Notamacropus eugenii: one gene and its partner. Each later gene encodes a partner of the first gene's protein in a complex. Links are inferred from orthologs where the notes say so. Each region holds a gene or a part of one and is shown in the gene's direction. Other genes may lie near its edges.

Region 1 (10,098 bases):
TATTTCACATTGTCTTCTATTTTTTCATTTTTTCAGTTTTCTTTGATAATTTCTTGGTTTCTCATAAAGTCATTAGCTTCCATCTGCTCCATTCTAATTTTTAAAGAACTATTTTCTTCAGTGAGTTTTTGAACCTCCTTTTCTATTTGGCCCATTCTACTTTTTAAAGCATTCTTCTCCTCATTGGCTTTTTGGACCTCTTTTGCTATTTGGGCTATTCCATTTTTAAAGGTGTTGTTTTCTTCAGCATTTTGGGGGGGGTCTCTTTTATCAAACTGTTGACTTGCTTTTCATGATTTTCTTGCATTGCTCTCATTTCTCTTCCCAATTTTTCCTCCACCTCACTTATTTGGTTTTAAAAATCCTTCTCGAGCTCTTCCATGGTCTGAAAACATTGCATTTTTTTTTTTTTTTTGGAGATTTTGGATGTAGAAGTCTTGACTTTTATGTTTTCCTCTGATGGTATGCTTTGTTCTTCCTCTTCCAAAACGATGGAAGAAAATACCTTTTCACCAAGAAAGTAACCTTCTATAGTCTTATTTTTTCCCTTTATAGGGCATTTTTCTAGTCAATTACTTGATTTTTGAGTCCTTTGTCAAGTGGAGGGTATACTCTAAGGATCTGTAAATTCTCAGTTCCTCCAAGGTGCCACAATCAAGGAAAAGGAGTTTACTCCTCTCCTGGCCTGTGCTCTAGTCTGTGAGCACTCTTTTCTGCCCTGGAACTGTGAGTAGGATTCCCTCTCCACAGCCACCACCAGCTCCACCACGCCAGTCAGCACTTCTCCTCACTCCAGGACCACCACTCAGAGCTGAGATCCAGATCAGTAATTTGATTCCCTCAGAGTCTTTAGGCAGAGGGCTCCATAAGTGAATGCTATCACTGCCTGGGCCTGAGGCTAGGGCTCTCCTCTTACCTAGGTGAAAGAGCTTTCTTACTGATATTTGAAGCTATTTTTGGTGTTTGTGGGTTGAGAAATGTGGGAACCACAGCTGCTACCCATAATTCCATGCCTCAAAGCCTGCTTCAGTCCTGTCCATGCCAGATGGCTAAGGCTGGGCTGCACTCTGCTCTGATCCTGGGGTGCGATAGACCTTTTCTATTGGCCTTCCAAGCTGTCTTGGGCTGGAAATCTGTTTCCCTGTCAGTTTGTAACTTGTGCTGCTCTAGAATTTGTTTAGTCATTTTTATAGGCATTTTATGGGCTATGGGGGGAAAGCTTCTACAGGTCAGTCCTTCTACTCCACCACCTACCTGAACCTTTTGAAGTAATTACCTTAAAGTAGTATCATGTGCCAAGTGGGCAAGGTGAAATTACCAATACTATAAAGCAATACGTTGAGGCACGAGTGTTAGTCCCTACAACCACTCGATGGAATAATTTATCTGGCAAGTACAAAAGTCAGATGGGATGTGGAGGATGACAGTGGATTATAGACAATGAATAAGGTGACTCTTCCCTTGTATGCTGCTGTTCCAGATACCGTTACCTTAATAGAAAGGACCCAGAAATATGATGGGAATTGGTATGCACTTATCGATTTAGCCAATACTTTCTTTACTATCCCAATAGATTGTAAACAATGGGACTAATTTACTTTCACTTGGCATAACTGACAATATACTTTTACATGCTTGCCACAAAGATATCTACATAGCATCACTATTTGTCATAGTATTGTGCATGAACATTTGGATGAATTAGAGCTACCTGATGTACAGCTTACCTACTACATTGATGATACTATGATATGGGGAAAAAATGTAAAAGAAGTGGAGAAGAGTTTGACACTTTTAACTGAGCATATGAAAAGCAAAGGGTGAAAAATTAACCCTGCAAAGATTCGAGGGTCAGCTCAAACCATAAATTTTAGAGTATACTATAGAATAAGGGGCTGTGAGATAATCTCCTGCAAGCCCAACAAAAGATTCAGGATTTTCCTATTCCCATCAATAAGAAAGAGGGCCAAAATTTTATAAGATTATTTGAATATTGGCGACATCATATACCACATCAAGGACAAATTTGAAACCCTTATATAAAATTACTAGGAAAAACACATGAATTTGATTGGGGATTTGAGCAGAGTAAAGCTTTTGAAGAAGCAAAGGCTGCTCTACAATTGGCCCTAGATTTATGGACTATGCAAAGTGGCAGTGAAATTATAAGTGACTGTACAGGATGAATATGCTAACCAGAGTTTATGGCAAAAATAACAAAGACAATATGTACCTTAGGATTTTGGTCTAGGAAACTCCCTTCATCTGGAATTCAATATACCTCTTTTGAAAAGCAAGTTGTTAGCTGCATATTGGGCTTTGGCAGAGACTGAACACTTGACTTTGGACCATGAGGTAATATTAAGGCCTGGAATCCCGATTATGACCTGGGTAATGAGTACCCCAGCTTCTCACAGAATTGGACATGCGTAAGAGGCTAGCATAATTAAATGGGAGTGGCATATTCAAAATAGATCTAAAACAGGAAAAAATGTAGTTTCTGCTTTATATGAATCTGTAGCAAAAATAGATCCTAGGAGAAATGATATACCTCCTGAACCAAAGCAACATTTGGTACAGTCCTTGGTAAAATGGAATCAGGGATATGATGAATTATCTGAAAAACAAAAGAGACATGCATGATTTATTGATGGGACAGCAAAATATTTGGGCCACAAAAGACAATGGAAAGTAGCAGCCTATAACCCATGTACTAGGTGGACTTTGGAAAGTACTAGGATAGGTGGAAGTAGTCAATATGCTGAACTTATGGCAGTACATCAGGCTATCAAAACAGAATGATAAGGATAGTGTCATATATTCACTGATTCATGGGTGGGAGCTGATGCATTAGCCACATGGATGAGCACGTGGAAAAGGAAAAATTGGGAAATACATGGCAAACAAATCTAGAGTAAAGAATTGTGGAAGGATATATGGGACATGTCTTTGGTTACTAATTTGTCAGTTTTTCATGAAGATGTCACATGGCCCTCACCACACCAGAACGTGAGTACGATGTACATGCTGATCAACCAGCAAAGATTGGTATTCAACATACTGTCCCCACTCTGACACCAAATGATGATCTAATACTAGCAAAATGGGTCCATCAAGCAGCCAGACATTTAGGAGTCCAGGCCACACACCACTGGACAAGACTGAGGTATTAGTATCACTCATTCATTGTTAAAACAAGAAGCAGAGGAATGTGATATATGTCAATTGGAAAAGGAACAAACTGTTCCTTGGATAGTAACCGAAGAAATAGTGAGGGGAAAAGTACCAGCCCAAATTTGGCAAATAGATTATACTGGACCCCTACCCCAAGATAAAGGATGCCAGTTTATATGCACTTGTGTTGACAATTATTCAGGTGTACTAGTGGCTTGTCCCTATAAGAATGCAATTGAGAAAAACATCTATAAAACTCTTGATATCATAAGTCTGTTATGGAACCCCAATGCAGATCCAAAGTGACAATGGGTCACATTTCAAAGGTAATAAAATGAAGAGATATTGTGTATTAAACAATATAGAATAGACATATCATATTCCATATTATCCACAAGCATCTGGGTTAATTGAAAGAATGAATGGATTATTGAAAGAACAGTTAAGGAAGTTAAGTTCTAATAATTCTTATCAACATTGGAAAGAAAATTTATTCACTGTTTTATGTAATTTGAATAATAGACCATTGGGAAGAAGTACACCTCTAGCCAGAATGATGACCCCAAATCTGCAAATACATAAGATCCCAAATATTGCATATTGGATTGTGAGGCCAGCACTGTATCCAGGGACACCTGGTTTGGGAGGGTATGATTTACATTGTTTAGAGGACTTTAGGTTAGATGCAAAAGAAATAAGAAAAATCTCTACTGGAATATGTATGAGAATCCCTAAAAATCATTTTGGAAAGATATTACCTAAATCAGAATTACCAGCCTGACAAAAACATGTGTTGGCTGGAGTGATAGATTCTAATTATCAAGGTGAAATTATTGTGACAATCCAAAATTTAGGTGAAGAACCCACACAATTTTATAAAACTGATAGAATAGTTCAAGTGATTATTACTCCTTGTGAAACAATATCCCTTGTGAAAACTGACTCTCCTTCTAAAATAATTAGCAGAGAAACTGAAGGGTTGGGTTCTACTGAAAAAATAAAATTGGGAGCTAAAATATGGGTAAAACAGAAGCCAGATGATGTTCCAAAGGCTGCAGAAATTATAGTACACAGGAAAGATAACACTGTAACTGTTGTTTACTCAGGAAAAGATGATTACCAAATTACCTTAACTCATATATTCTACAGTGAATGAGGCTACGATAGTGGGTTCATGAACTCCAGAAGCATGGCTGACCCTACCTACCCTGCTTCTTTTTGTTTCTTTTTGTCTGTTAAACTTGTTTGCTAAATTTGTTTCCTGCTGGCTTAGTACCCTCCAACTGCAAATGCTTGACCCTTAAGCTGGATATCACCCCCTGTCCATGACTGTGATGTGTCACCCCTGAACCTGGCATCAACCAAGCTCTAGATGCCAGCTAAAGAACTGACCTCCCAAATCGGACCCCTTGGGGCAGGGACAGCTCTACATCCCGTTTCAGCAGGAAATAGCTAGAGAAGAAGAGACCTTTGCCCCTTACCCCAAGACTTTAGTCCATATTCATTCAAGGGGGGAATGATGGGATACTTTGATTTTTATTAAATTGTACCACCTCATAGGAGCAGCTAGGTGGTGTAGTGGATAGAGCAGCAGCAGTAGGGAAGATGGGAGTTAAATCCACACACAGTTACTAGTTGTGTGACCAAGGTTAAGTCACTTAACCCCTATTTGCCTCAGGTCCTCATCCGTAAAAAACCTGGAACGAAGAAGGAAATGGCAAACCAATCCGGAATCTTTGCCAAGAAACCCCAACGTCAAGTCCACGGGGTCAATAAGGATGGACGAAGCACCTCCCATGCCTCTTCAGTTCGAACCCCGACTAGGCGAGTCCCAGGAGGGGTGGGCGGACCTGTGCTTGACCACGTCTACTCAGGAGAAAGGCAGAGCCCGTGGAGGCGGCCCGTTCAGTTTTTGGGAAACGGTTACGAAGCTTTTCCGCCGACTGGGGCAAGATCTTCCCATGTTGCTAGTCGTGTCTTCCTCCTCCGGTGCCAAGCGGACCAGGACGACGGCCCTTGCCCGCGCCGCTCCTTTCAATACGGGGCGGCGGCTCCCTCCCCCGCCCAAGGCCCCCTCCCCGTCCCTGTCCGCGCCGCCCCCAGCCTCGGCCTCCGCTTTTTCCGTAGGCTTTATTTGGCTTTAAAGAGCCCGCCGTGGGCGCGTCAGACTGGCAGAAGGGGCGGGGAGAACGGCGGGGGACTTGCCTCGCCAGCCTCCAACCGGGTGAGGCGCGAGACCCACGCACGCACGCGCGCGCGCCCCCGTAGGCCATGGGCTCCCCCGGCGCGAGCCTCGCCAGCTGGCCCAGGGCCCGGGGAGGGGGCGGGGAGCGGGGAGAACCTGTCTCTCTCTCCCGGGAGAGAAGCAGCTTCCTCCGCGGTGTGCGGTGAGACGCCCTCTGACGTGTCCTTCCGCCCCCGCCCCCCGGCCCTGGGAAAGAGAAGCGAGCCGAGGACGGGGAGCGGAAGGTGGCTCCGAGGCGTGCGGCGTGACGGGCCTGGAAGCGGGAGAGGGGGACATGTCGTCGCTGTGGGGGCACACGCTGCCGGCCTCGCCGCCGGCGCCCTCCCCGGCGCCCACCGCCACCGCGTCCCCGTCCCCGGGGGCTGTCAACATTAACCGGCTGCGGGAGCCCGCGCTTCGGGGCCTCAGCGACGCCCTGGACCGAGCCGCGGAGGGCAGGGGCTGGAAGAAGCTGGCGGAGCTCGCGGGGAGCCGCGGGCGCTACAGGCTCAGGTGTCCGGGGGGGCGGGGCCGGAGGGAAGGGGAGGGAGCGCCGGAGCTGGAGCCCGGGGGCTTGAGCTGCAAGTGTGAGGGAGCGATCGGGAGCGTGCGGCACGAGGGCGAGAGGTGGCGAGGCACCTCGGGGTGTGGAGGACCCTCCCCCGCCCCGATGCCGAAGAAGGGGGCGAAGTGGGACCGGTTTGGTTCGGTAAACGTTGATTAAGCTCCTGCTGCGTGCCAAGGGGCTTCGACTCTCAGATTATCGTATTTATTACTTCTAGGACCTCAGGCAAAAAACTTTATCTTTCTGAACCTCATCTATAAAATGAAACTGTTGGACTAAACTTTCAACTCTAGGTCTGACTCTATATTTCGTACCGTTTCATCCACCAGACTACCCTGCCCCCAAGATGCTTACAGTCTAATGGGAGAGACAACATGCAACCACCTCCTCCCCACAGGCACACACACCAAGCTCCATGCAGGCTAAGTAGGAAATAGCAGTTGGGGAAGGCTTCCTGTAGAAGGTGGGATTTTAGCTGGGACTTTGAGGAAGCTTTAAGTCTGCTTTCCCATAGTCGGGGTGGAGAAAATGCTCAGAGCCAAGAGAACAGAGAAAGAGAAATACTGTAGGTGGGAAAGGTTAAAGGGCAAGAAATGTCACTTTCACGTGAGGTTAAAAGACATTGAGAGAAACAGACGATTTCAATAAAAAGGAAGGCGCGTGAGAAAACTTGAAAAAGAAGGGTAAAAAAGTGATCGACTCAGAATGATTAGAAGGAAATAGTGTTTGTCGAGGGAGGAACAGGAGTACTGGACTGGTATTAATTCAGTCCATCAGTAATTCATTTTGCCTATTCTTATGTGCCAGGTTCTGTTAAACGCTGAAGATACAAAGAAAGGCAAAAGGTGACCTTGCTCTCAAAGGAACTCAGTCTAATTGGGAAGACTATGTGAAAACAATTGTATCCAAACAAGATATATAGAGGACAAATAGCAGATTCAATGACTGGTGGATGAAGAGATACAAAATATCAAAATACAGGGTCATAGACCTAGAGTTGAAAGTTTAGTCCAACAGTTTCATTTTATAGATGTGGCTCAGAAAGATAAATTGATTTGCCTGAGGTCATAGAGGTAATAAATAGGATAATCTGAGATTCAAACCCAGGACCTCTGCCTCTTAAGTCCACTACACTTTTTTTTTTGTTTTCTTTTTTGCTTTTTAATTTTTATTTTCAGTTCCAAATTATATCCCTCCTTTCAGCCCCTCTCCCACCCATTAAGAAGACAAGAAATATGTTACTGATTATACATATGAAGTTTTGCAAAACATTCCCACTTTAGCCATGTTGTGGTGGAAAAAAGAAGCAAGAAAAAGAGATAAAGGATGCTTCAATCTGTACTAGTCCCTCAGTTCTCCATCTGTAGGTAGATAGCATTTTTCATCATGAGCCCTTTGGAACTTGATCGGAGTAGCTAAGTCTTTTGCGGTTGATTATCGTTACAGTGTTGCCAATACTGTGTACAGTGTTCTCCTAGTTCTGCTCACTTCTCTTTATATCAGTTCATATAAGTCTTCCCAGGTTTTTCTAAAACTGACCTCTTCATCATACAGCATTCTTAGAGCATTTATTACAGCATTATAGTATTCCATCAAATTCATATACCATAACTGTTCAGTCATCTTATAACTGATGGGCTTCCCCCATTTCCATTTTTTTGGCATCACAAAAAGAACTTCTGTAAATATTTCTCCACATGTGGGATCTTGTCCCTTTTTATTTAATATCTTAGCATAGAGACCTACTAGCAGTATTGTTGGGTCAAAGGTTATGCACAGTTTTACAGTTCTTTGGGCATAGTGCCAAACTGTTTTCTACAATAGTTAGATCAGCTCTCTGCTCCACTAACAGTGCATTAGTGTACCTATTTTCCCACATCCCCTCTAGCATCTCTCACTTTCCTCCTCCATCATCTTAGCCAGTCTGATAGTTGTGATATGCTACCTCACAGTTGTTTTAATTATTAGTGATTTAGAGCATTTTTTCATGTGACTATCAATAGCTATGCTTTCTTCTTCTGAAAACCTCCAGTGCACTTTCCATTGCACCATACTATAATAAGATAGTATATGAAAAGTGCCAGGGGTTGTGCAAACATAGAGATATAGTAGTTCAGAGGAGATGGGATCAGTAAGTATTCTTAGTTGACTTAAGTTGTGATTTGAAGGTTGGCTAGAATTTTGACAGGCATAGATAAGCAGGGAGACATTTCACATAGAAAGAATGGAATAAAAAAGATAAGAAGGTTGCAGAATCACATATTTGGAACTGAAAGAGGCTCAGACATCATCTAGTCTAGCCTCCTCATGTTACAAATAAGGAAACTGAGGCCTAGAAAGGTTAAGTAACTTGGCAATATTACACAGTTTATAAGTTGCAAAACCTGATTTCAACCTCAGGGTCTCTTATTGCTAATTCCTTACTTATATACTTATTCCTGTACCATGTTTTTTGAGGGGAATATTAAGTAGTATGAAAGGTATGATATACTGGGTGAATTGCTGGCCTTGGAACTAGGAAGACCTGGGTTTATGTCCTGTTTCTGAGACTCATCATCCTTTATCCCATCTGCTTTTCCAACTACTACCTGCCTGTCTCAAAGTCACGTTCAAGGCTCAAATTTCCATGAAATCTTAAGATCATAGGGTCATAGAATTAGAGCTTTCAAAATCACATTGTCCAACCTCTTTGTTTTATAGACCATAAGATCATAGTTTGGTACTGGAAGACACCTCAGAGGTCATCTGATCCAACCCTCTCACTTTATAGATGAGGGAACTGTAGCCCAGAGAGGTCAAGTGCAAGCCCAAGGTCATAGAGGTATCAGTGACTCAGCTGGGATTTGAGTCTTCTGGCTCTAAAATCAAAGCTTCCTCCCACCCCATACTGTAGTCCCCACTTAATCTTCCTCTCTGAATCTCTGTAACATTTAATTATATACTGTTGCACTGGTTGCTTCTTTCCCCCTTGTGTGCTGTGGTTTTGTCTTCACAACTGGATTATAATGTCCTAGAATGCAGTACCATGTATTATTTTTCTTCTGTTTTGTATAGCACCTAAAGGTTAGAGAAGGAACTTAATAAATGCTTTTTGATTACATCTTTCCCTCAATGTTATGTTGAACATCAACTTAAGAATCACAAAATTTCAGATTTGGAAGGGACCTCAGACACCATCTAGTCCCACCCATGCCTTTTTTACAAAATCTAGAGTCGGGCAATTATTACTTTGAATGAGAAGGTTCCTATGCAGATTCTGGGATGTCAGTTGACAAGCATTTATTAAGCAACTATATTAAGTGCTGTGGATGTAAAGAAAAACAATGAAAGGCCCTTCCCTCATGGAGCTCACCTTATATTGAGGGAGACAACATGTAAGTACTTAAATACATATGTGATAAGAGCATGCCAAAAAATTTAGTGCCTTATAAAACTTTAAAGTTTAAGTTATTAAAGCTTTAAACTGCACTAAGATTTTTGGAACACTTGTATAGCATAGGTAGAAAGTAATCTGAGAAAGGAAGGCATTAGCAGCTGGGGTGGCAGGAAAAATCTTCTACAAAAGGTGGAATTTGAGTTAAGTCTTAAAAAAACCCATACTGGAAGACAAGAAAAGTAATCAATCAACAAGCATTTATTAAGAATTTACTATGTGCCAGGCACTACGTTAAACACTAGGGATACAATGAAAGGCTAAATGATGGTTCCTGTCCTCCATGGAGGAGAAAAATGAATAAAATTGTATTTACAAGATATGTACAGGCCCTAACAGTGTATGGAGGACTAGGAAAGGCACCCTGCAGAAGGTGGAATTTTAATTGAGTCTTAATGGAAGCCAGGAGAGGAGAGGCTGAGGAAGAGCATTGCAAGCATGGGGACAGCCATTGAAAAGGCACAGAGATGGGAGTACTTTGTGTGAGGAACTGCAGGAAGGGCAGTATAGCCAGAATGTAGATTATGAAGGGGAAAGTAAAGTATAAGAAATTAGATAGGAAGGAGACAGAATTTGAAGAGCTTTAAATGCCAAACAGAAGAGTTTATCTTTGATTCTGAAGGTAATGGGAGGTCATGGGACCTCATTGAGTAAGGAGGCAGTGTGGTCAGACCTACACTTTAGAAAAATCAACTTGGAGCT
Region 2 (10,213 bases), on another chromosome or scaffold:
CCTTGGGCAAGTCAATCCCAATTTCTTTTCCTTCCCCTCTCCAAAAAGGCTACCTTTTTATTTGGAAACATAATGATACAAACTGAACCACCAGGAGGTGGTGGAAGGGTAGAGAACCAGCTGCCTGGTTCTTTAAAGCATCAGCAAGGCCCAGGTGCATACTAGATATCTTTCACTGCTTGACTTCATCCTTGACTTTGTAGAATGCTTTTATGCCATCTAGAAGTATATATGTCCATCAGTCATTTGTCTCATACCCCCAACTATTGATCACACCCCTCCCTTTGAGCAGCGGGCAATTCTCAATTATTTAATTCTCAAATGCATGTTTAAAACAAATATTGACCCAAATTAACAAAAGCATAATAGAACAAAAGGATTAAGTTAACATTGCCACTTATTTACCTTTTCATAGAACCACAAGTTCTAAGCTCCCATAAGATTTTTGAGTAATGTGGTTTTAGGAAGATTATTTTGTCAACTGGGTGAAAAAGGAATTGGAGAAGGAGGAAACTGGAGGGAGAGATGTATAAAACAGATTGTTATAATTGCCCAAGGCAACTAAGTCCATAAAGAGAGGGGAACAGTCTAGTTGACATTCTGAAAGCAGAAGCAAAAGGAAAGGAGTTTGGAGAAGGTGAGGATATATGGTTTGCTTTATACACATTGAAATTGGGGTGGTAGTGAGATGTTAAGGCAGCTACAGGTGTGGGTCTGAAGTTCAGGAGAGATAGAGAGATAAAGCTTGGAAAGATAAACTTGGAAATCATCCACAAAAGATGATAATAGAGACCATGCATTCATCAGGTGAGAGAATGTAAAGAAAGGAAAGAAGAGGACCCAGGAGAAAACTTGACAGAATAGGAGATAGATGAGAGAACAGACAGGTAGGAGACTCCAGAGAGAGCAGTATCAGGAAAGCCAAAAACAAAGAGAGTATCAACGAGGAGGAAGGAGAGGAAATTGTATTAAAAGCTACAGAGGTCAAAGACGAGAACTAAGAAAAGGACATAGGACTTAGTAGTTTAAAAGATCATTTAAAGGACTGAATGTGGAGGATGTTTCAAAGTCCTCAGCAGAGAAATAGTATACAGTTAAGATAAGAAAGAGATTTGGCCAATAAATTGATCTGCTTCGAGTCTACCTATTTTGTTGCAAGATAGGGTTCTGTTTCAAAAATCCTCCTTTGATTTGATCATCCCCACTGACTATTATGGCTTTTTTAAGGTATTTAGCCATGAAGGAGAGGAGAGATATAGACCACTCCTTCCTTTCATGGCTAGGTAACTTGAAAAAGTCATCTCTCTTCTCAATTCTTTCTCTAAAATCTTTTGCAATGTGTTTTAGGAAGATTATTTTGTCTTGGAAAAAGGAATGAAGAAGGACGAAACTGGAGACAAGGATACTAATTAATTAATTGATAGTCTAAATGGCAGGTGATGAGGTTTCTGAGTCAAGTTTCTGACACGGCCATTCAACTGAAACTACACTCCAAAGTAACCAAGGATCAAGTCTTATTTACCAAATTTAATAGCTTTTTTTGATCCTCATTCTTTTTGAACCATATTCAGTCTTTGACATTGTCAATCACTCTTTTCTACTGCTTATTCTCTCTCTTTTAGGTATTCATGACATTGTTCTCTTCTGCCTGACTCCTCTTTCTCATTCTTTTTTGCTGAATCTTCATCCAGATTACACCCAATAATTGTGGTTGTCTCCTAAGGTTCTGTCCAAGAGTTTCTTCTCTTCTCCCTCTATAGTATCTCATTTGGTTACTTCATCAACTACCATGGGTTCATTATCAACTCTATGTAGGTGATTCCCAGGTTATATATTCAGCCCTGTCATCTGAGCTCCAGTCTCGCATCACCAATTCCCCAATGGAAATCTCCAGGTGGATGTTCCATAGATATCTTAAGACTCAACATGTCCAAAACTGAACTCATTATCTTAGTCCACTCCCAAACCCTCCTCTCTTCCTAACTTTCTTACTACTATCAAGGTCACCACTATCCTACTCGGTCGCCTTAGTGTCATCTTCAGTTCCCCATTCCATTTCACCCCACCCACATAGCCAATCTGTTGTTAAGGCCTGTCAATTTTACTTTACATCTCTTGTATACTCCCCAGTCTCTCAGGAACAGACCCCTCATCACCTTAGACCTGAACTTTGACAGTAGCCTTTTGGTTGGTCTCCCTGTTTTAAATCCATCTTCCACTCAGGCACCAAAGTGGTTTTGGTGACCATTTCACCTTTGGTCCCTTCCCCTTCCTACTCAATAATCTCCAATGGTTCCCTATTAGCTCTAGGAGTGAATATAAATATAAAATCCTCTTAACATCTAAAGACCTTTATAACAAGGCTCTTTCCTACACACTTTACTCCCTTCCTTTATTCTATGACCTAGTAATACCAGCTTTCTTGATGTTCATCAGACATGATGCTCTATCTCCCAACTGAACATTTTATTAGCTACTCTCCAAGCCTAGAATGCAGTCCTTTCCCACCTGCCACTGCTAACATCTTTCCTCTAACATTACCTCCTACTCATACTGCATATATATTGTTTGCCCTTCTTCATATCCCCAACTCTTGGCACAATGCTTGACCATAAGCACTTAATAAATATTTGAGGCAGCTAGGTGATACAGTGGATAGAGTACAGTCAAATGGGTAGGAAGAGAACTAGCAGAGAGTGGTGTCTCAAAAACCTAGAGAGGAGAGAGTGATTAACAATGTCAAAAGCTGCAGAGAGGGCAAAGAGAATGAGGATTGAGAAAAGGCCAGTGGATAATTATTAGTAACTTTAGAGAGTCATTTCAGTGGAAAGATAAGGTTGGAAGTCAGATTGTAAGAGGTAGACAAAGAGTCAGAGGATAAAAGGTGGAAGTGCCTATTATAGATGGTCTTTTGAGAAGGTTAGCTATGAAGGGCAGAATATAGGCCTAATGGGGGCAGAAGAATAAAGTCAGAGGTTTGGTTTGCTTTTGTCTTCAGGATGGAAGAGACATGAGCACGTCTGCAATAGGCAGTAGGAAATAAGGCAGTAGACAAGGAGAGATAGAAAATAAATGAAACAGTGCCATGTAAGTATTTCAGGACTTTTCCCCTTTAGACTTATTACTTTGTGAATATAGGAAAAGCAACAATTTAACTGCTAGGATAAGGAGAAATAAGACAAAAGTCACCAACCCCTTTCAGTTGCTTCCCCTTTAGCCCCTCTAATTTACATAAACCCATGTAATTTACATAGAAATTATGGGAATGGAAGGAAGGTGAAAAGAATTTCACTTTCAGTCAAATAAGAGTTTGTACAAAAAGAACACAAGCAGCAAAAAAAAAAAAAAGAGCTCAAAAGACAAAGGGTATGAGGACTTTTCTTTCTGTCTAACTAGATGGGTCCATATGGGTAGGGCTGCCTGCACTTATAAAGTCTGTAGCCTTAAACTATGAGCTTTTCAGAGTTGAAATCCTACCAAAAGCTATTTCTGCTCAACCAATAAGCCACACCTGGCAGCTGAGAGCAAAAGCAGCTCAAGGTGAGTGTTCATCAGTGAGCAATCAGCCCAGAAGTCATCTCCATGATGTTACCAGAGGCTCTGTAGCATGAGAGGTTTGGATTGCCCTGGTTATGCACCGTCCCTGTGCGTTTTCCCTCCCACACCGGCGGTATGCTAACTTGTCGGAGAGTATAGCCCTGTGTGTTCTGGTGAGAGGATCTTTATGGTCACTTAGTTTGATGAAATGTCGTTTGCTCTGAAACAATGTTGCACATTGCTGGGTGCTTACAAGCCATGAGTCTGAGTAGATGCAAATCTACAAAGTACTTTGAACCTGCAATAGCTTTTCTGTGGGCTCATGTGTGAGGAGGACCAAGGTCATGCACAAATGAAGTACAGGTATAAATTTAATAAGAGACAGTGTTGAGCAGGGAATAGAAAATTGGCCTTGGAATCAGGAAGCCCTGAGTCTTTGACACAGAATAATTGCTTGACCAAAAGGAAGCCCCTTAATGGCTCATTGCCCCAGTGAGTACTTTTCAGCTTCGTCTGACACTTTGTGACCCATTTGGAGTTTTCTTGGCAGAGATATTGGAGATATTGGTACTTCTCTCAGACCACCCCGTGTTTGTTTTTTACTTGAGTCTGTCCTATCTTCTCTACCATCTAGAGCTGACTCCCTCCAAGGCATTTCACTCCTCTGAGCCTCAGTTTCCCTTTCTAGTTAGACCGAATGGTGCCCTTCCAATTGGCTGCTGCCCGCTGAGACTGGGGATGAAAGAGAAATGCTGCCAGTTTTTTCCGGGAGCCCAGGCAAGAGAGTTGAGATAAACTCCGAGCTAAGTGCTAGAGAAGTGACCGAGACCCCGCCTGGCCCGGACGGAGACCTGAGGAAGGAGCCGGGCCGGGCTGGCGACAGCTGCGGCTGTGGCTCGGACCCTGGCTGGCGTTGCTTTCCCACTGGAAGGGCTCCCTTTCCCACGGACCATGGACAGCAGCAGCGGCGCTTCCATCCTCCTCGAAGACCCGCAGATGTAGGAGTTCTGCGGGAGGGCTGCGCGAAGCATCCCGTGCGCTTCCTCGGAGTCCGGCCACAGAAAACGGGACTGCCGGGGCTCAAAGCCTAAACTGAGCCAGGCGTTCTTACCCGGGGTCCAGCGGAACCGCTCTCTTGTTAACGGAAAGAGGATCCCGCGTTTCCGTGGGCTCGTGGAAAGAAGACCAGACTGGCACGACCTCCGGGTGCGTGCTCGCAGAGATCCGTGACCAGAGAGAGTGCTGAGGTCCGCGAGGATGAAACCCCCACACCTTCTTAGAAAGAAAAAACACGGGAGGAGAGGAGCAGAGGGCCGCGGGCACCGGGGGCTGCGGGGAGAGGCGGAGCCGCTCCCGTGAGAAGAACGAGCGAATGACCGGAAATCGCAGCCCCTCCGGGAGGCCGTTCTTGTTGGGGCCAAAGTCCGTGGAACAGACGCGTGCAATCAATGGAAATCAATGAATCAATCGATCCATCCATCCCTGAGACCCAGCGTTGGCTGCACCAGCTTTGGAGACTAGAAAGGCCGCACGAGCCCCTAGGGAGGGGCGGGAGCATCTCCACTTTACAGAGGAGGAAGCTGATTGGCCAGAAGCCACAGCTCTGGTCTGATGACAGTAAGGCGCTCCATCATCGTTTCACAAGATTAAACTTCCGGTGGGACAAAGCCGGGAGCGCCCGAGCCAAGGAGAGCGGAGGTTTGGACTAGAAGGGAGGGGCGTGGTCTGAATTCCGCGGGAGATAAGAATGGGGAGCGGCTTCCGGAAGGGGCGTGGCCTGCATCCCTCAGGAGGGAGGAGGGAGCTTGGGTGCCCTCTTGGGGGCGTGGTTTGAGGTCCCTCCCCCACAGTGGGTGTCCGTGGTAGGGAGGTGGGGTTAGGGAATACTTGGGTTGTCTTTGGGAAGGGGCGTGGCTTGCGTCTAGCGGGAGTAGGGAAGCGCTAGGAGGCGAGGTTTGCAACTTGGGTCTAGAGTCGACCATAATAGGAGAGGGGCGTGGCTGGCATCCGGAGACGTTAGGGATAGCGAGCGACTAAGGGGAGGGGGCGGAGCTTAAGTCCCATGGGACAGCGAACGTAAGGCGAGCTTTAGTTGGGGGCGTGGTTTGAATTGTGCTTGAATCCCGCGGGAGGAGGGAACGCAGTTTCCGCAAGGGGCGTGGTTCATATCAAACGGGAGGTGGGGAAGGGGAACTGAGAGAGCGTCTTTAGCAAGGGGCGTGGCTTGACCTCAGCACAGGAAGCGTGAGGGGCGTGGCTCGTCCCGTGAGGGGCGGGGTGTAAGGGAAGGCCTCAATGGCTTCCTCCGGGAAGGGGCGGGACCGCTTCGAGTTGGATTGACTGCTGTGCGCTCCAGTCTCGTTCCCAAGCTCGGCTGGGGGCGGGAGTCCCGGCTCGGGCTCGTCCGGTCGGCGCTGCAGCCTCCTCCCTCTCAGCGTAGGGTTGGGGCCGGAACCGGAAGCTGCCGCTCCGCTCCTGGGCCCCCGAGCCCTCCGCTCTCTCGGCTCCTCTCACCCCTTGGGTCGCCGGTGGGGGGCGGGGAGGTGTCCGGAGCCTCTTCAGTCCTGGGGGCGGCGCGGCCTGAGTTCTGGAGCCTCCGCCATGGAGCCCGCCGCGCCCGCGCTGACCGAGGAGGACATGGCCGAAGTAAAGAAGGATGTGAGTGGCGGGGGCCGGGCCGGGGCTGGGCGGGGCAGCTGCATACCCCAGGCCCCCGAAACTCCCAGGGGAGCCGGGCCGGGGGAAGTCCCGGGTTTTCCGTGCGCTCCCAAGAAGGACACCTCCCCCCAGGAGGTGGCCCGGACTCAGGAAGACCTAAGTTCAAGTAGTGATTCCGGCACGTCCTTGCTGGACAACGCACTGAATGCCTGCCTCAGTTTCCCCCACTGTACAATGGGAATAATAAATGAGCACGTATTTGTGGGACACTTAGCAGAGTAGGCCCGATGAGTACTTCCTTCCGCGTCCATGCCCCCTTAGGGCGTTAGAGTCTGGTCAGGCCCAGGGACCTGGGAAGGAATCTAATAGAGTAGTGATGACCGGCGCCGTAGAGCTGGACGGACTGCAGAGAGGTGGGTCCTGAGGCCGGAGCGGCCATCGTTCTCTTTTTCAGGATGAGGAGGTGGGCCAGCTCGGGTCATCCAGCCCGGGCCCAGTCACACGGGTGGCAGGGCTGGAGTTGAGACCCACCCTCCGGGGCCCCACCGTCCTCCGCGCCGCCCGCTTTCCCTGCTCTTTGTCAAGTTAGTGTCCAGGGTTGCGTCCGCCCTGGTGCTTCCCGGGATCCTGATGGCCCTACCAGGGCCAGGTTCCCGCCACGCTCCAGGAGCTGTCTCTAAACTGGGGCTGAGAATGGGTATGGAAAATGAAAAGGCCGTCCCTGCCGTGGTGGCAGTAGTTACTAACGCCCACGGGCTGTCCCAGATGGGGAAAGGCCTTTATCCCCAGAGGCAGAACCAGCTGCTGCTACTAGGAATTCCCCTAAAATGAAAACTCCTACCCATTTAAATGAGACCTTTGGTCTTTCTAGCCTGAGGAAGAAGAGCTGTTGAGTTCTCACAAGTGAGGATACAAATGTTGCCTCAAAAATATCAGTATGATGATTTGGTATCTGTAAAGTGTAAAATATGCAACAGCTGACCTCTCTTTCATAGGTGTTATAAAGCAGCATAAATATTAATGCTTAGTTATAATTAAATGTATTATGTAATCTAGTTAATGTTTACGTTTCCCTTTGTTTTTCATGCAAGTGCTCGCCCTCTAAGATGTCTAAGAATGAGTAATAATTATCCATCATTTTGCGTCTTATTGTTGAGAAATGAAAAAAACAGCTTAGGCAGCATTCTACCTGGCTGGTCCTCATATAGTATCTGAACGTTGAAATCAGGGAATTCTGCCGCTAGGTGGGAGCTCCTGTATTCCAGCAGTATAGCTTAGCTGGCACATAGTAGACACTTATTGTTTGTTGAAATGTGTTTTAATTTGACAGATTAGGAAATTGAGGTCCGTAGTGGCGGTGACTTGCTCAAGGTCGCATAACTGGTTAGTGGCAGATTCAGGATGAGAACCTTGTTCAGTGTTCTTTCCCTTACTCTTTGCTTCCTTTCAACAGATATGCCAGTAATCCTGGAACAAAATGAACAAAGGTTAATTCTAGTTTCTCCTTTCAAGACTAAACTATTTTGTCTAAAGTCCAAAGTATGATTCAGCGCTTTTGACTCACTGTGAAAATAACCATGAATTACCTGTCCCTTTTGGAGGAAATGATTGGAATTTAGAGCCTATAGAATTACTCTAGAAAGCCTGTTTGTATTTTTAAGCATATTAGTATCATAAATTGACAGCTGCAGAGGAGCTTAGAGTTCATCTAGTCCAGTCTGCTGCATCTCCCACTCCTTACAGCCCCTTGGACTTTTATGTCATATTGTAAAAGGAAAATAAATTCACAGAATATTTTAGAAGCTTAGGTATATGACCTTTTGTTTGTGCATTAATGTCTGCCAGGTCAGTGGGAGTACACAGATGAATAAAAGACCAGCATGGATGGGGAACCTTCAGGGAGGCCTCAAGGTCACATGTGGCTCCCTAGATCCTCAAGTGTGGCCCTTTGACTGTTCACAGAACAAATCCTTTTAAGGGTCAAAGTCAAAAGGCCGCACTTGAGAGCCCCACATGTTCCCCACCTCTGGCCCAGAGGCCCACAGTTTAGTAGCTGAGATAAAGTAGATATACAGCTAACTAATACAAGACTGTCAGTGAATACACCATTCTCTTTCAGAGCTTTCGTAAAATCAAATCTTGAGTGTGATTATCCTCTTGGACCCTTCCCTCTCTGGCATAGTTCCCTGCTGTCCTTGACCCCAGCAGGAGGGGCCAAGGTGCAGGTCAAGATTGAGTGATCAGGGTATAGTGGTTTGTATGTTGCAGATAATAACAACAACAATAAAAACCCTGTGAAATATTTCAACAAATGTAAACTGTCCCCAGCTCTTGGCACAGCATTATTTGGGGAATGCATAGGTGATTAGAAGATAAGTCCAGACCCCAGAGAAGCTACAGGTAAATCAGGGAGATGGAACATATGTACAGATAATTGTAGCATGAGGCCAAACAATATAAAGGGTGTTGAGTGGTCCAAGTTTTGTTTGTGTTCATTTTTAAATGAAGTATTATTGTTTCATAGAATTTTTTTTAGCCAGTTTTTTATACCAGGACTTGGAATCGATGGGTTTTTCTCAGTCGTCAGCCTGCTTGACTTCTCTAACATTTGACCCAGTTGATGAGCTTCTCTCTAGGATGCTCTCTCCTCTCTGAGTTCTCCTGACATTGCACTCTCTTGGTGGCTCTTCTACTTGTCTGATCTGTATTCAGTCTCCTTTGCTGGATCGTCATCTATGTCTCACCGCTTAACTGTGGGTTTACTTAAAAGCCACTGTCCTGGATTCTTTTTTCTCTCTCTTCATTTTCTCTTACTTGGTGACCTCATTAGCCCCCTTGAGTTCAGTCATCATCTCTGCAAATGGCCCCCCAATTTATGTATCCATTCCCTTTCTCTCTATTTCTACTTAAGCAACTGACTACTAGACATTTTGAACTTGGTATTCTCTAGGCATCTAAAATGTAAAATGTCCAAAACAGAACTCATTACCTTTTCCGCCCCCTCTTGCTAACTTCCCTATTTCTGTCAGGAGCACCACAGTCACACAAATTTGCAGCCTTGGTGGCATCTTCCACTCTAATAACCTTAAAAAAATTCTTTTCACATTGAATTAAGAAAACTTGAGTACTGAAATAAGATTTTCTGTGACCTTGTTACCACTGGGACTTTCTTAGGAAAAGCTGCAATTAGAGATAAATATAGTAGTTGAATTCCTTTAGTTGAAACAAGTTTCAAAACAGTAAAAAAATGTTGTATTAAATGCAGCCCCCACATAGGTATTTCAGAAAGTTATGAGTCATAACATTGTGAAAAAAATGAAGCACATGAATTTTGGCTCAGGACTACCAGTTCAAATTTTTTTCTTCTAGAAAAGCAAACTTAACTCTAGCAGTAGTTTAGTATATTGTTAAATAAAACAGAATCTGCTAGTAGATTTAAAAACTGTATTTTGAATAAAAGATGGCTTTCTGCCTCTTATTAATAGCAGTTCTGAGAGCCTTCTAGGCTTTCAGAAGAAGAAATTCATCTTTATGTAAAAAGGATTTGCTGTGTATTTCCAAAGCAGCTCATCCCCCCCCAAAAAAAATTCTGTGCTCCCTTTCATTCTAGTTAAAGTGGGTATCAAAACAAAGAAGCTGCGTTAAGTGGCCTCCTTTATCAAATTGTGTTGGCACCCTGACAGGCAGGCAGACAGGACAGATGGTATCACCTAGTCTAGACAGATTGTGTCAGCCTGAAGCCCCCCTTATTGGTATATTGACAAAACTGACTGAGGCTAGAAGTTAGTTAGGTCTGTTCATAAACCAAGGAAGAGTGATGGGCAGGGAAGCCAATGCTGCAGATGCCACCTAGATCTTTATACAGTAAGCAGGAAAAATAAGAGAATTTGCCAAAGCTTGTCGTTAATTGACAGCTGTGTTGTCAGTAATCATAAAAGCATCTCTAGGTAAGGGAGATAAGTCATTGATGAAAAAAATAAACCCAAATGGTATCAAGACTGTCTTCTGTCTTGCTTTT

Evidence for each region. The genes of interacting proteins can lie anywhere in the genome.
Region 2: the proteins of MALT1 (region 1) and BCL10 are in contact, whole or in part, in a cryo-EM structure (PDB 6GK2), measured with the Homo sapiens proteins. The link is inferred for Notamacropus eugenii from reciprocal best matches to the Homo sapiens genes MALT1 and BCL10. Residues at the interface, in NP_006776.1 of Homo sapiens: Asp46, Gln47, Ala48, Pro49, Trp54, Arg55, Leu74, Glu75, Ser78, Leu79, Val81, Leu82, Glu83, Pro84, Glu85, Gly86, Pro88; in NP_003912.1 of Homo sapiens: Leu13, Lys17, Val83, Arg87, Asn93, Gln97, Thr100, Leu104, Arg107, Asn108, Leu111.

What each region holds. Positions count from the first base shown.
Region 1 is NC_092875.1:431,331,374-431,341,471, reverse strand, and holds the start of MALT1 (mucosa-associated lymphoid tissue lymphoma translocation protein 1), read left to right. Parts: upstream 1-5,540; 5' UTR 5,541-5,693; coding exon 5,694-5,911; intron 5,912-10,098. UniProt on the Homo sapiens protein: Protease that enhances BCL10-induced activation: acts via formation of CBM complexes that channel adaptive and innate immune signaling downstream of CARD domain-containing proteins (CARD9, CARD11 and CARD14) to activate NF-kappa-B and MAP kinase p38 pathways which stimulate expression of genes encoding pro-inflammatory cytokines and chemokines.
Region 2 is NC_092873.1:494,611,185-494,621,397, reverse strand, and holds the start of BCL10 (B-cell lymphoma/leukemia 10), read left to right. Parts: upstream 1-5,763; 5' UTR 5,764-6,138; coding exon 6,139-6,195; intron 6,196-7,496; exon of another isoform or gene 7,497-7,662; intron 7,663-10,213. UniProt on the Homo sapiens protein: Plays a key role in both adaptive and innate immune signaling by bridging CARD domain-containing proteins to immune activation.